Linked DNA regions of Oryzias latipes. The protein of the gene in region 1 purifies or fractionates together with the protein of each later gene. This does not show direct contact. Links are inferred from orthologs where the notes say so. Each region holds a gene or a part of one and is shown on either strand. Other genes may lie near its edges.

The links. The genes of interacting proteins can lie anywhere in the genome.
Region 2: the proteins of reps1 (region 1) and ap2m1 purify together in Homo sapiens (affinity purification with mass spectrometry; 3 studies listed by BioGRID and IntAct, counting the BioPlex papers as one, with this or other methods). This does not show direct contact. The link is inferred for Oryzias latipes from reciprocal best matches to the Homo sapiens genes REPS1 and AP2M1.

The regions. Positions count from the first base shown.
Region 1 is NC_019882.2:19,493,567-19,502,121, reverse strand, and holds the start of reps1 (ralBP1-associated Eps domain-containing protein 1), read right to left. Parts: upstream 5,819-8,555; 5' UTR 5,263-5,818; coding exon 5,110-5,262; intron 2,229-5,109; coding exon 2,105-2,228; intron 240-2,104; coding exon 10-239; intron 1-9. UniProt on the Homo sapiens protein: May coordinate the cellular actions of activated EGF receptors and Ral-GTPases.
Region 2 is NC_019875.2:21,536,058-21,543,989, reverse strand, and holds part of ap2m1 (AP-2 complex subunit mu), read right to left. Parts: intron 6,127-7,932; 5' UTR 6,079-6,126; coding exon 6,005-6,078; intron 3,466-6,004; coding exon 3,200-3,465; intron 2,996-3,199; coding exon 2,913-2,995; intron 2,629-2,912; coding exon 2,623-2,628; intron 2,472-2,622; coding exon 2,336-2,471; intron 807-2,335; coding exon 662-806; intron 427-661; coding exon 409-426; intron 1-408.

The sequences.
Region 1 (8,555 bases):
GCAACCAACCTGTGTTTCTATGCTGGGAGCGAGGGGCTGGATGACTTCATGGACGGGGTGTGCAGCGGTCGACGGAGGACCTTTCTTGTTCTGGAGACCCCTGCCTGGTGGTCTGGGTATCACTGCCACACCGGGGGGTGGGTACACTCCCTGACTGTCTGCATCCTGGTACAGAGCGGCGTGTCTCGCTTCTGCCTCGTTCTTCCCCACGATGAACCTGGGCAGCGGCAGATCCTTGACTGGCCAAACACAAACGCAACTCAGAGTCAGACATGAGCAGCAGAGCGGGAACCGTCCTCACAGGCGCTGGAGCAGATTCCCAACATTTTCCTGAAGGCCTCTGATGATGCAGCTGCTCAGCAAATGCCCAGCTGTGACAATAGAGACAAGCTTTCATTTCTAAAACAGTTGCTTCCACATAGAGAGACACAAACGTATCCATTCAGCATGAAGGTGCTGATATGAAACGCCGCGCTCACATCCAGCCAGGAAGAACACAGACAACAAACAACTATCAAACTACACAATGTGTCTCTCTGTCAGAGAGGAAGTGGCCTGTGGGGCAATCAAAGGGTTTATTGGTCACTCATTCAGCAAGCTGTCTCCAATAAAAAGAGGAGTTTGGTCTGTAATGTTCCTCCGAGACATATTTCAACATGCAGAATATGAAAAAAAGAATTGGACATTGTTTGATTTTTGTATAGTGAAGCAGAAAACAAATATGTATCTATTTTACATGAAAAACCTCTTCTATCTTCCACTCATGAACTGTGTTTTAAAGCTGGTTATGTGTATTAAGTTGTTACCAGAACGAGAATGGGATGAACCAATCTACAGTAACCAAGCAACTTAGTGAGAAGAGAGCAACGGCTGGAGCAATTATTAGAAATTATTCAGATTATTCAGAAAACAGCCCAGAACTACACACTGTTCCTCAAACCTAGTGTGTTACCAAACAGGAAAATAAGCTATTGTAACTTCTGTTACCATAGCAACAAAGGTTGCCATTAGAGGTAACGATTAATTAAGTCATCAATGAATGCATGCATGAATTTTTATTCCCACCGTCCAATAAGATCCATCTATCTGAGGCAGAATCAAAATGAAATGACGTAAACCATCAAAAATAGTTTCCAAATGAAAAAAAAACCAAATATTTGAATCAATGTTGGAAAACACCATTTGGATTGAGACTTGGTAGGTTTAATTTACTAGAACTTAAAAAAGACGAAGTGTCATAGCAGACAACACAAACGTGATGGAGCAAAAAACTGATCATTCCAGTCCAATGTGTGGACAGACTTTGAATTTAGCAAAGTCATGTGACCATCCAGTTTTCTAGAATGTTCTAAGAATGTTCCCTTTGGATTCTTTGGATGTATTAACAACAGTGGACTGAACTTTAGGAAACTAACATGTGAATGGATTTGACATTCATTCTAGTTGACTTGTTTGTTTGGTCACATATTTCATTTACATTTGATGATCTGGAAGAAATCCAAGAATCTGGAAAACTTCACTGTTCAGTAGCAGGAATTTCTGTCTGAGTCTCACTGCTGGAAGTTTTACCTGAAGATGATCTGGATCCATTCTAGGTCAGAGAATCAGATCATTCAAAATGAACCAAAATCAAAAGTGAATCAAATTGGCAAATATTAAATGGAATTGTTCAAATGAATCGTTACACCCCCATTTGTTACTATAGCAACCTTTGTTACCATAGCAACACAGGATGCTATAATCATCTTGGAGATTTGATTTGTTAGACATTTCTGCAGAACAAACCATTGCTCTACCTTTATCGTCCATATTTCAAACTTTATTCAATATTTTCTGTTATATAGATTTATTATAAATCAGCAGCTGTTTTGTTCGTCTATATATAGATATATTTATTTGTTTTTTTAACTTTAAAGTGCAATACAACCTGACGATAGCAACTGGGCTGTTCTGAGAGAAAAAGTGAAGCTTGATGATGCATCAACAGTGAAATATTCTAAATATGTGCACATGAATATTCCTGTGGCTGCGACACGTGGAAACTCCTCGCTCAGATGCAGTAAACAAGACAAAAACAGCTAACATCCGGACGGTTTGGACTCACCCGAGTTCAGGCTCTCCACCCTGAGGGGCAGCCCCGCCTGGGCGATGGCGATGAGCTTCAAGGCGATGTAGAACTGGCTCCGCCCAAAGTGACCCAGGCGAGTGGCTCCGCACAGCTCTGTGATCTGCCCCCGCCCCCCCCAAAAAACAAGAGTCTTTATTTCTGTGGAGGTGGAGCCAGTGCGGGCTTATCGACTGGCGATCCACACCTTTGGAAAATTCCACATTCCAAAAAAAACAAACAGAGCTGTCACTGAAGGTTTGCTTTCAGGGACGGCGTCTTTGCTCCCGCTCCGCTGCCCCCCACCCTTTAAGGTTTAGGTCACCACAGCTGACTGACCCCAAACCGCCCACAGAGCGCCCGTCGCAGGCCGACACTCGGCTCTGTGCAGCTCCAAACGCTGCTGGGCGGCTCTACGACTCTCCAGCTGACCTTGAAGGGATGCTGAGTCACAAAGAGCTAACTGTGGGCTCTTCAGAAAGCCTGAGTCACGCTGCTTCTGCCCCGCTCATGACGGGAAGAGCAGTTTGACTTAAAGGCCTCTCTGGCCGGCCTCCTCAGGTTGTCATGTGAGAAGCTCAAAGCCTGAGTCAGCACGGAGCAGCGTCACTCATTAGTTTCATTGTTTCAAATGTGCACACGCTGCTCTGCGGGACGACAGGATGCGAACAGGAAACGTCCACTGATAAAAGGCTCCAGAGCGGCAGTCGACGCTGCATCGCTGCTGGGTTTGTGTGTGGGATTCAAACACATTCCCAAGCTGATCCCTGTTGCCTCTAGCCTTCAAGGACTTTCCAGGCCAACCATCAGAAAGCCTGGAAAAACAAAGACGCAGAAGAAGACAGACCAAGAGAAGCAACACTGCAGCTTTGAAAATATGGATTCACTCACTTCCTCTTGAAACGATTTAACTTCAAAGTAGAAGCAGAAATGAAGGAGCTAGCTTCAAAAAAGTTACCAAAAAAAAAATCAGATCGAGATTTCGGATCAGTCTTTTTTTTCTATTTCGTATCGACTATTTCTCTGTTTCTTTTATTTTTGTAATTATTCGCTAATAGTCAACGTTAAACTAACTGGCGAGCTGTCTTAGCTCGTGTCATGGTGCATTCGCTGTCTCTTGTGTCAAACATGCGGCTCAACGCTCCTCCAAAAAAGCGTTCATAGCTGCTGATGCGTGTGGGAGGAGCCACCATAAGCATTTGCTTGGTAAACATGACTCAAAGTTCTTAAGGGGCGTGTCTTCTGTTTGCTAACACGAGTTGCTGAAATGAGCTCTCTTATTGACTTTTTCATTGAAGTTAGCTTTGTTAGCAAGGTTGAGTTCAATTGTTTTCTAATAGTAGAGGCTACACTACCTATGAATCTGTTTTTAGAAGATGTTATGGTTATTCCTTTACACAGCTTAACTAGCTTAAATCTTTTCAGTATACCAGTAACTTCTATTATTTTATTTTTTTTTTAGGTTTGGGGTAAATGTCTAAACAAAAAAAAGCTACATTACTTAGCAGGCTTGTCTGGTTATAGTTGTCCTGTTTTCCTTTTTCTTGCTGGCCTCTTGGCCAACAGAATCTTTTAGCAAAAGGTTTCTGTTCCTGTTCTTTCAGATTTCTCAGGCATTGGTCCTCTTGGCCCCGCCCAGTGTATCTTCTATGTCACAAATACAATTTTTTTCCAGTGGCATTTTTTCATCTGCTCCTGATTCACAACCATTTGCATCAAATCGGAAATGCAATTTCAGGTTTAATTAATTGTCTTTTTACATGTTGAAAACTCCATTTTCATTGAAGTGGGTCTAAAATAGGCCAGCACAATAAATCACACATTTACCGTTATCGCGATATCAAGCTGTGCAACACGCCTATCGCAAGAGAGGCGAAAATTTCAATAAATGGTAACCTTAAATGTGCTAAAACAGTCTTATGGGAGCTTGAAGTATTTAACAAATCAAATAAATCCCTTTATGTATTTGACCAATCGGATGGATCCATTTTGTGTTGTGCTACATATTGACCTACTATTTAGCCGGTGGTCATTTGTGTATAATTTTTTAAACTGACATGGAAATGATGTTTTTGGTTGTTTTGCTATTTGTTCATGTACAGCAAGTTATATCGTCATCGTAATATTGTTCACTAATATCACATATCGCAAGTTTTCCTCATATCGTGCAGCCCTAGTCGTAAATATTGTAAATATTGTAAATATTATCTTAATTAAACATGGACTTAATTTGTTCAAAGAATTTGTAACTATTATTTTGTTATTAAACAGATGAAATGTCTTGGTAATAAGGCATTTTTGATACTTTGAAATCAAATAATTTCTTTGTAAAAAGTACTAAGTCAAGGTTTCAAAGCAGGTTTTAAGATTTTTTATTGTAACTTTCTCCTCATTAATGGCGTTGCTGGAGAGGATTCTCCCAAACGAAACCATCAGGATCTGATCCAAGAATCAAACCAGCTGCTTTACAACGTCGTCCTGATATCTAATGTAGGAGCTGTAGGGGCAGATGTTTGATGAGAGCAGAGCTCCACAGCTGCCCTCTGATCAGAACAGCGTTGGAGCCATCAGACTGGATGTCCATCACCTAAACCTGACAGGTGTGTCTGCAGACAGATCCAGCTGTGGGGAGCTCTGCACAGGTGTGTCTGCAGACAGATCCAGCTGTGGGGAGCTCTGGACAGGTGTGTCTGCAGACAGATCCAGCTGTGGGGAGCTCTGGACAGGTGTGTCTGCAGACAGATCCAGCTGTGGGGAGCTCTGGACAGGTGTGTCTGCAGACAGATCCAGCTGTGAGTAGCTCTGGACTCCTGCTCCATGGGAGGCTAGCGTTAGCTAAAAGAGGGTGTGTCTCTCTGCCATCACGGGGGGGTCTAACCTCATCTGAACGGGGGGAGAGGTGAGCTGTGACAGCCTCCAAACTTCATCCTTTAACGGCGTCATGTTGGGTCACCCCCCCCCCCCCTCCCCGGAGATAACTCCCCCCAAACTGCTGGTTAGCTTACCTGCAAGACAACTTCGCTGGGTAGCTGGGCCGCCCGGAAAAGGTCAAGAACTCTTCCGTTGGAGGCCACTTTTTTGGTGTTGTCCGTGTCGCAGTACACGAACAGCTCCGAGTAGTACTTCTGCTCGACATCGCTCAGCGTGAGGCTTTCCATCGTAGAGCCGAGCAGACCCGGACGGCGGCGGCGATAGCCCTTAGCCAATGGTAGGGGCAGGATCCGAGAATGGGCGACAGACACTTCAGCGGGATCCCAACTCCGCTAGCGTTCTTTCCGAGCTAACGGGGAGCCCGAACACCGCGCGAGAACTCCCCCCGCTGTCCGCGACCGTCTGCGGGCGAGCGGTGCCGACTTCCACCGGACCCGTCCACCCACGAGCGGCTCCACACAGTTGGTTAAGTTGTTGGGCAGCCTGGCAAAGTGGCCAACAGCTGGCTAGTAAAGCGGGGAGCTAACCTCCAATCAAAGTCACTGACGGCAGGCTAACTAACTAGCTGTCCGGCGTCTCGATCTGGACACGAACCTCATGAATCCGACCTGAAAGCTCTGCTTTCTCCGGAATCAGCTCCGGGGAGGAGATCCAGCGCTTCGCCGCAATCCGCGTCTTCCACGGCGCCTTTATTAGTAAAGTTTCAGAATCTTTGGGCTCCTTCCTTTAGTAATCATAGCCGCCATTCCTGCCCCCTTCGTCAAAGTACTTGGAGTGACGACACTACTTCCGTGGAAACCTTCCAAAATAAAGTACACCTTGAGCGACACATTTTTACCCTGCAAAGATTTTAAAGAGTAATATAATAAAAGTAATTAATACCAATAATTTTGCATAACCACAAAGGAAGAAATCTGTACCTCAAATGACAACATTTTGTCATTGCCGTTTTAAAGATGTTCTCTCTAGATTTTTTAGTTTGATTAATGGGTTACTCTTAAAGTCGATTTATAAATGCCATTACGAAAGAGCTTTAGGGCTGCAATAAAATATAAGGTATACATAAAATATGAGGGGGGGGGGGTCTAAGTAGTACATCTATTTTTTTTTAAAAGTCATTTTTTTTTGCTTTCATTTTTCACTAATCTACTTTTATAACAATTCACAAACAAGAAAATAATTTTTAATTAATGATGAACCAATTTTGACATTTTCACGGATACAATGTAATTTTTGTAAATTTTAATTGAACTTCATTTTTTATTATTATCAATTTTATTTCCAGAACATATTTAAAATCTCGAATTCAGAAAGTGGAACATCCGAGAATGAAATTGAAACAGTGTTAAAGGAATATCATCTGAAGAAAGTGATCTTTCCACTTCTGTAAGACAAATGTGAATTTAACAGATCCCACTGAAAAGAATATGTTGGCGTCTGTCATCACATGCAATAGCAGCTTATGACAGAAGTTCTCTGGACATGATTTCATGTCCAAATCTAAGGTGTAAAGACTTTTTAAAATTAGCATGTTTGACAATAACAGGCTGTAGAGACGGTTAATGTCAATGAAATCTCTTTCGAAGTCATTTTTCAACACCAATTAGCCTTTTAACAAAAATAGTACTATTAATATTGGCTAAAGTATGACAGATTTCATTTACAGCTAAAGAAAAATACATGAGTGATTGTTAAGGTTGCTTCTTGAGCTTTCTGAATAATCATTAACTTTGAAAATAGAATTGAAAATATTTTTTTTTATCAAAAAATTGTTTTTCTTTTATTAAAAAAACTTTTTAAAACCAAAATCTATGTTTAAAACTCACACAGATGTACCAACAAAATTGTCATTTTTAAACTGAAAGTAAATTAGAACAACTTCCGGCTTGAAGCTCGTTTGTTTTATTTCCAGCTTGATGTCTAGTGACGTCATGAAGTCACTGTCCGAGTCAGCAGCATGAGCCAGAGCGTTAGTACGCTTGGCCTGCAGGGACCCGGATGGATGATTTCAAAATAAAAGATCACGTTGGTTTTTTTTTAACAACTTGTGTAGTGTAATGTCACATTATTGTGATATTCACTCATAGATTTTTAATGACTTCGATTTATGATACTAAATGTTTTTAATCTCTCTGGATTAGAGGAAAAAGAATGTATTGTGGCAAAAGAAAGGCATATTTATTGCCCACTTAAATCCTTATATGGATCAAGACGCTAGAAAGTGGCGCTTTGTGTCACGATGCAGTCAGATGAGTTTGGTGTTGCGTTCATGGTTTCAGTAAAGTTCAAAACATTTAACAATAAAAAGTACAGTTAAAATTTGGGGATTTTACCAATAATTTTCCGTCTGGTAAGCACCATGGAATCTAGCAGATGTCAAATGTAACAAATGAATCAAATTGGGGTAAAAAAAAATATCAGGTGATATTTCCTGCAATGTACAACTCGTACATTTAAAAGCAGTAATTTCCGAGGGTAGTGTGAACGTAGCACTTCTTTCACCGGTGTACTGTCGTTCGAAAGTCGTCATTCATCCAATTCCTGGCGGAAACATCAGAAAACCAGAAGGTAAAAACAACACATATCGATGTCGACTTTTGGAGATTGTTTGACCGTGTGAACGGAACCGTTTTCCGGTCATTAGACAGTTCAGTTGATCTGTCAGGGATCCCTTCCGGCAGCAGATCATTTGTTTGCCGGGAAGGTGTCTGCCGCGCGGATGAATGATTTCTGCTCGATAAAGTCCGGATTCAACTCCGTTTGAAGTGAATATTACCCATAATGCAATTGCAGTAAAAGATGTTTAGAATGAGGAGCTGTTGGGTCTGAATTTTGCGGCTGGTTTCGGAAAGCTAATCATGCATTTCCGCGTTGGAGGTAGACCGCCCTGTTCAGGCTGCAGCATGTTGATCTGCTGCGAGCGCAACAATATGCTCCAGACATTCAACTGCAACACCGTAAGGAGAAAAATCGAACCGCAAGTCAAACCTGGACCTACACACACAAACTATATTAACTGTTTCATGTTCTGTCTGCATGTAGAGTTTGCTGGTGCCTGCTTAACTTCTGCAGAGGTTGAGGAGGGTATATTTTAATAAAAATAATTCAAAATAAAATTCACTCTCTGAAATTCCTTTTCATTTTCAAAATTAAGTTGCGTTTGTTGACTCAAAATTAAAAAGAAAAGGCAATCCGCCAAACTGCTTTTTCTTCTTCAACACCACTCAATCGGTCACTTAATTAAAAAGATGGAGAAAATGCTCAACTTTCAAAAAGTTCTCAGGTAAATGTGGAGCAAAATTAATTTAGAAATGTCTAATTTGACAATTAAAATGGATTAGCAAAAATGCTTTTTGGTTTTCATAATGTACCTGCATCAAATGACTCAAAATTCAAATGAAAAATCAATACTTAAAAAATGTTTTTTTTCATCGCTCATTCTGTGACATAATTAAAGCAATAATGCAAAGAGGGGATTGCATTTTCGTTTTCACATCCACCCTGCGATGGATGTGTCAGC
Region 2 (7,932 bases), on another chromosome or scaffold:
ATTAATGGAGTATTTCAGGTTCAACATCCCAAGGCATCGTCTTAGAAAGATACCAGGACTCCCCTCCCTCAATGTAAAGAAGTGACAAAAGCAACAAATGAGGAGAGCAAAGGGAACACCTGACACCAAAACATGTGAGCCTACTTTGAGTTAATGTCACTATTCTGCAGCTAAAGATGACAGTTTCTGATAGGTGTTAAGGTCATAGGTCAAGCAGGTGGGTGTGGGCTAATAAACATACCAATCTACTAAACCAGGCAGTCCACTGAGGAGTTTCTAAGGCAAATGTTGGTTGCACCAGTTGTGTGGAAGGGTCACAGTGCATGAAATGTTAAACTACTGAAAGCTATGACAAGACGAGGGGTGTGTGTTAAGGTGGCGGGGGGGGGACACTTGTCAGTACAGTACCTTCCTCCCCCTAAATCACTGAGGTACAGCACATAGAAAAGAAGGAAAAGAAAAGGAGAGATGCATCCAAAGGCAGGCAAAAATGAGAAAATTAACTGTAAGGCCTTGTTTGTTTGTAGTGACTAAGATGACAACACGGGTACAGGACAGAGGGACGGGCACATTCCGTTTTTCAATTTTCACATTCTTGGTATTTTTGGAGATTGGGTCTGGTTATCGTCGAGTTGCCATCTGCCTCCGTTTTAACACTCACCTCTTCGCTGCATCGTCAGTCGCTCCTCCCTTGCCCTGCTTGTCGATAACAATCTTGTCATTCATTCCAAATTTGCACTCTGGCATTCCGCTCAGATAGCTCTTCATCACAACACGACCCGACACGTGGGCGCTCAGGACCTGGCCTGGAATCAGGGAGGGGGACAGCCATGACGAGTTTTAACCCAAACTTCTACACCAGAAACCCTTCATGTAAAAAATAATTAGAAATTTGGAAATAGGCTGTGTCCAAATGCGAGGGCTGGGTTCTTCCTGGGCTGCATTTGTAGGATGTTTACGTCACAGCTCCAAGACAAGTGCTGTCCAAATGCAAGGACTCCTTCAAATGCGGCCAACGAATACGGCCGCCTTTTTCCCCCCAATTTCAAGGATTGGTCTGGTGTATGCTTCTATGCTGTCCATATCCCAAGATGCATTGCGGCATTGAGGGTTCTGGATGGCCGCCATGACGGAATAACCGATGCGTTTGGATTACTGCCTAAATCACATTTGCCTTCTAATTTTCTCTCACTTGCTATACTCAAACAAGTGCATATAACTGTGTCTTAATGTCTGTAATAACCCCCGACCACAACAAGATGGCGAACAGAACAACAAAAAAGGATGATACCATCGACGAGCCCGTCGTGGCTACGCTAAAAGATCACAGAGCAACCCTTCCAGCGGAGTTTAATGCCTCCATCACACGACTTGAGACAAAGTTTGATAACATCCAGTCTGCTGTTGAGGACCACCATCAAAGATGCATCGCGACAGAACCTGGAGATTTTCTGACAACAATGCTGGACTGTGAAGCGGGACCTGGAGTTGGAGATAATTACACCTTACAATTACAAGATTAAAAGTTGGATCAAATAAGCCAGGAAACTTTTGAGCTCCATGCCTGCTTCACCACTCCTCTCTGTTCGGGACCCACGGTTGCTAGGCGACAGGACACTTGCCGATGATGTAACGGCTGGAATTATCTAAAGACTAGACTTGTCCAAATTCACAGTCGTTAACATCCAGAACCCGGCCAACGTCACCCGGGAAGGCCGCCATTGAAGGATGCAGCCCTCAAATTTGGACACACCCATGGAGTATGCCCAAAAAAAAAAAAAAAAACCCACACAAAAACCCCCAAAGGATTTAGGAAACCGATCAGAGCCGAATAATACTCTAAAAAAATCAGCTGCATTTTCTTTACTTTATAAATATGCAGCACTAATCCATCATTACAAACACATTTTCCTCTAAAAAGTTACAAAAAGTGATTATTAGGGACAATTTAACCTAAAAGTCCTTAATGTTCAGAGGTACATTATTTAAGTCATACTCAAATAGGACATTTTTCTCTTTTTGTTCAACTACAACCAAAAATACCAACTTTTTTTTAAAGTAATTGTGAACATGTTCAAAACAATGGAATTCATATCTAACAACTTTCGATGCTACAGTTGAACAAGCGATAGAAAAAAATTGTATAAGCAAGTATTGTTTCAAAAGATCAAAACAGAAATTGGAGTCCTCAACTTTAAGCATGAACAGGAAGTTTTAAAAATAGAAGTTTGTCCATGTAATACTTTGAAAGACTTTGCAACTACTTGACATGTCTGATGCATTTACTAAACACAAATGTTTTCCTAGATCATGTTTGACGGGAAAACTAACTGACCTTGTGGAGACATGAGCAGATTCACACTTTCCAGCACATCCAGGAATAGTTCATTGCGGCGATATTTGATGCCCTCACGACGCCAGCCAATCTGTCCCGTCACCTGGCTGGTGATCTGAGACTGCTCCTCTTTTGTCTGAAAGGCAGAAAGAAAAGCCATAATGCAGATGGATATGGACGACCGAATTTCAACCACACAAAAAAGGCCTTGAAAAAGAGATCCCACTAAAGAAAGATCGAAAAATATAACCCTGTTTCACTATCTGAGGAGTGTAGCATTATATTACCTGGTGCTGAAGGGTCCAAATACCACAGGAGACAGAGGAAATGACATGGAAAAGAAAATATATTTTTTAGCATATGTCAACTGTTTGGTGTGAGTTTAATACATAAACCAAAAGAAAAGGTGTTTTCTTTATTTTAAGCACAGAATGGTAAAGAAACGTTCTACCGACATCCCATATTCATCTTTATAACAGGATTAACAGGAATTTATTTTAGCATTCTGTATAATTTTACACATATAGACAGCATACATTTAGCCTATTTTTGATCAGTCAGAGTGTGGATGTTGTACCTGTCCCTTAATGCCCTGCTGGGTGATGAAAGTCTTTAGGGCCCCGGTCTCAGAGTTCTGGGGATAACCAAAGTCCAGAATCTCTGCACAAACAAACACAACTATCAGCAACAGATAAGATAGGCAAGAGAGAACCCTAGATCATGAAATGATGAAAGCTAACAGCTCCGAGAAAGAAACTTCAAAGCAAAATATTGGTGCTAACGTCCCAACTCTCAGAGATCAGTCAAAGCATGATTTTTGTATTTGTGTCAACAACCGTCTAAAACTGAACAGTCACTTCATACCATCCAGCAGCTCATAGATGAGCACAAAGTTGTTCTTGATGTTCTCCTCGCTGATCTTGCCAAAGTAGGCCGTCATGACGTCACACATTTTGTAGAGGAACTCGAACACCATGGCAGCGTTGACATTCTGCTTGGTGACGGCCGCCAGCCAGATGTTGGAGCGTTTGACGTGGAAGAAGCTGGTGCGGGCGATGTTGGTCACTGGGGATCGCACTTGCTGCCGGGCGTGAATCACGTTCACGCGGAACGCGTCCACGGCGTTACGTCTGCCACAGAAGAAGAGGAGCAGAAAGAAAGTTTAGGAATGGAGTCAACGGATTAAGGTTTTGTGACAAATGAGAATGGATCGTTTGACGTGAAAATATTTTTTGCAAAAAAAGAAAAATTCTCTAAAGCATGGACATATTTAATAGGAATAAAATGCAGAGGGAGAATGAGGAGGTAGACACTTCGTTTTAATGTCTAAACTGTGATCAAACCAACAAATAAAAACTCACAGCACAGCAAAAACATTAACTGGACTTTGTGGAAACAAAAAAAATGTTTCAAACCAATAATTATCCAAGTAGGATTTTTATCTAGTTCTTTTGTGGTAAAACGCTCTACAATGCTCAACAGCCCTCAATTTAAACGGATACAGTGGACAGGATGGAGCTTGTCCTGACAAAAGTACCAAACCACACTGCTAATTGCTGGGAATATTCTGGAGTGCACATCAACTCACAACAGACATTACCAAAACCAGAAACATACAATTATCACAAATGATGTAGAGGATCTGTATGATCCCTTAATGGTTGTTGCACCACGGTTCCTATAAACACTGCGGTGTGAAACAGGCCGGGTTGGTTCACAGATGTTAACACGCTGAAAAAACTGTCCATGAAGACTCCATGGAAACAAGTGGACGTGTTGGAGTGAGTGTGAGGCATGTTAGTTCAGGATGCTGCCTTACCTGGTTGGGGTGTGAGGTGTTTTTATTAACCACAAATGAACAAAAAACACAAACTGGCAGCAAATTTATGTCCAGCTGTAGTTAAATCCAAGGTCTAGCTTTAACCGGGTGATTTAATCCAAACTCTCTCATTACTTTTGAATTAAAAAACAGAAATTAAATGAATAAATGACAATTCAGATGACTTGCCTGGAAAATTTCCATGCTCAAATGACATGCTAGAAGTGGCAGTTCTGGTTATGTATGAATTCCTTAAATCTCTCTTTTTTTAGATGATAACATGACAGGTGACATGCTTAGAAGAATCAGCAGGAATCCTGATGGTTGGACAGATGTGCATGCACTTTGGGGTTCATGAGATCCTCGAGTTGTAGCCTTTAAAAGGTGGGGTTCATGCTGTAGAGGCTGCAGTAGCTCTTACCTATTCCTACAAGGACCGTGATGGACAGATGGAGGATAATGGTGATACAGAAAATAGAGAGGAGAGAAGGATGAAGACAAAAATGTACAGGAGACATTTTCGTGCATTGTGTAGACAGAATGAGTAAGGTGAGGGTTTTTTTAGGGAAGTGGGGGGCTAGGTAAATCATTAGGGGACAAGGTTAGCATTATTTTACTACACTTTATCCTTGGGGTTTACAGTGCAACACCTCAACAGATTGAATTCCCCTTTAGTACAGTGTGTGGGCTAAGGTAATGGCAATCAACATTACTGCAAACATGCCTCAAGTTCATAGCGTTTTAGTTTTCCAGCGGATTATGCAAAGTCAAGAACTGCTACATCAGGGTTTCTTTTGTTTCCGTCTTTTCCCGCTTTATTCAGCAAAACGCATTGTGTCTGTATGAGAAGACAGAAGCTGCTGAGGATGATCAAGAATGCAACAATGGCTGAAAATGAAGCAAAAACAACTAATTGTGGCAAAGAGAAGAAAAGTGGAAAGAAGTGTACGCTTTTCTTAAGTGTTCTATTATGTTTGGAAAATGTATTTGAAGAGCCGCATGTGCAGATGCAAGAAATCCTACTGAACACCTGCATTAGGCATGCACACTTTGCTTTTGCCATCCTCCCTCAGAACTATACCAATGCACAAAAAAAATTTTGAATTCTGATTTTGCCTTTAAATTGACCCATATGGTAAATCTGCTGTGCAACTTTTTGCCCATTCTTCTTCTGTATGTCGACTGAACAGTCCGCTAAGACAACATAAACCCCCAAGTCAACAAGTCTGCAAGTTCTGGTTCACAGTACTATGACATTTTGATTGAAACAAGTTTCCTAGCCATGAATGAGGCCTTGCATCTAAAACTCAACCACTGGTTTAGTCAATGGACATGCACAATCTGCTGATTGTTTTAAATCTGAAAGAACAACACTTAAAAGACCATAAATAATACTTTTTGTACATAAGAAACTAGCTATGGGTCATCCAAGTATTTTTTAACCATCCAATTTAGGTTCTCTGTAATTCTTCCTGCCTCTAGAACTGAAAACAAAAGTCAACTCTTGATGAACAGCTCTAGCTAAAGCAGAGAGTGTGGTTTGATAATGCGCCTGAGCATCTGTAACTCTAATCATTTATTCAATTTGCATAGGCCTTCAGATTGTTAAATAAATAGCATCTAATCCCTTAAACAATGTTATATGAGCGGATGATTTAATCCAGGCTTACGTCTAACTCAGCTTCCTTGCACAAGCAGACATGATTTTAGCTGGATGTGGTGACATAATCCTCTCATCGAGGAGATCAACTCCAGCTAGCCCTCCAACGCAGGATCCAGATAGTTCCATTGAACTGAAGTCTTCCACAACTTGAGGAGACTTACAGAAGGTTAGTTCGTGTCAAACATACCCTATGTCATCTCGGTAGACACGGGAGATCAGGACCTCCCCCTTGTGGTTGTAGATAAACAGTCCTCCAATCATTGTGGCTGCCTCTCAAACACACCTTGCCATGATGAAACCAAACACCACCTGGCAAAAAACAGAAAGGAACGACATGAAGGCAGTGGTCCCCAAGCTTCCCCCCCCCCCCCCCCCCCTCACAAAGGTGTAACTCTCAGAATATATTTTATTTATGGAAAATCTTCAATGAATCAATAAAATCTTTAAAACAGAGTTTATAAATATAGTTTTTTTTACAAAGCACTAAATTTATACAAAATAAAAATTAAATGAAGAAATGTGATTTGTGTATCAAAAAAGGAAGAAAAAATTGTTGGTGTAGTAAAGAATAATACCACACAATGTGTTTTACTTCTTATACATATTCACCTTGTGTTAAAGATCTCATTTTTTGTTGTGATCATTTTTGCTGGGATCTTCATATGCATGATTGAAAAATACAAACATGTATTTAAATCTAGTACCTTTTTGGGGTACATATCTACAACAAAATATTAAGGCCCCATACAAGTAAATAAAAATTAAGTACAACAAAAAAAAAAAATCAACATTTACAAGAACAAAGTCGTAAAATTATGAGAGCAAAGTTGTAATTTTACAAGAAAAATGCATCCTTTTTGAATATAAAGTTGGTTTTAAGCCTCCATCCATAGTCATATTGAGTATCTACCTGAAAACTACTGACATGGAGGATTAAAAATTAGCCAGGAGAAGTGAAAGTGAGGGAGTCACCGCTGGTGACACAGAGACACATTTGTCCCTCACATCCTCTTTTCTCTCTCATCCTCGTTTCCCTTTTGCCAGCTGACTAATTCCTGCAGCTGCACTTCTTCCATTCGGACTCGAAGGAAGCAAAAAGATGCACACACATATCCAACACGCTGACTTGATGAGGCAATGGATCTCCATACTAATGAAACGGCAGTTCTTTTCCTCCAGTGACATATTAGATAGAAGAAGAAGATTAGGAGCTGTTATGGGTAGTTTGTTTCCAAGTTGCCTCTATCCATCTGTTTTAATGCCCTCCCGCTAGCTTACAGCTATTCACACCTCCAACCCAATTATTGGAGCAATAAAAACGGCGAGCACTTTTGGAGCTGTCCAGCTGTCCAGTGTTGAGCCAGATATCAGTTCAGGCGAGGAAAATGCAGACATGCATGGATGGATCTATTAGTCTGCAAGTGGATGCATCAAAATGTAGCGGAGTACAGAGCTTGTGGCCCAATGATTGCAGCACCTACTTCCCTGCTATGAGCATTTTCCAATGGAGTTTTTTCGTCTGCTCCTGATTCACAGCAATTTGAATATAGAAATACTCAAACACAATTTTAAGCTCAATTTTCTTAATGTACGTCCTCTATAATCAGAAAAGTGCCACAAGTCAAGAACATGTTAAAAACACAATTTTAATTGGAGTGGGTCTTTGATGTGTCACTTAGCCGAATACAAATGCTCATCAATTTAATTTAGATAAAAAAAAAAAAAAAAAAAAAAAAAAAAAACAGAAGTAGCAGTTTAAGGTTTAAAAAAATACAAAAAGTAACTTAAGGGCTGCTGGAGACAGGAATTTCTCTCTGTCCCTCCTTTTTTCTCTCCTTGATGATAAGAATGAACCTTCTGGAAACCATGAAGGACATTTCAAATTCCTCGAGCAGAAAATCCAAACATCGAAAAACCGACACTATGGGAGACTTGACACGTTAGCTGCAGGATTAGCAGCATGTTTTCCGCTTAAACACCGCTAAGTCGTGACTTAACCATCCGCACAAAACCTGAAGAGATTTAATCGCCTCTTTTTTCTGGCGAAGTCAAGATGTCTGCTCACTCACTGGGGCCATTTTCATACAGTCATACATTTCAAATGTTTGTAGAAAA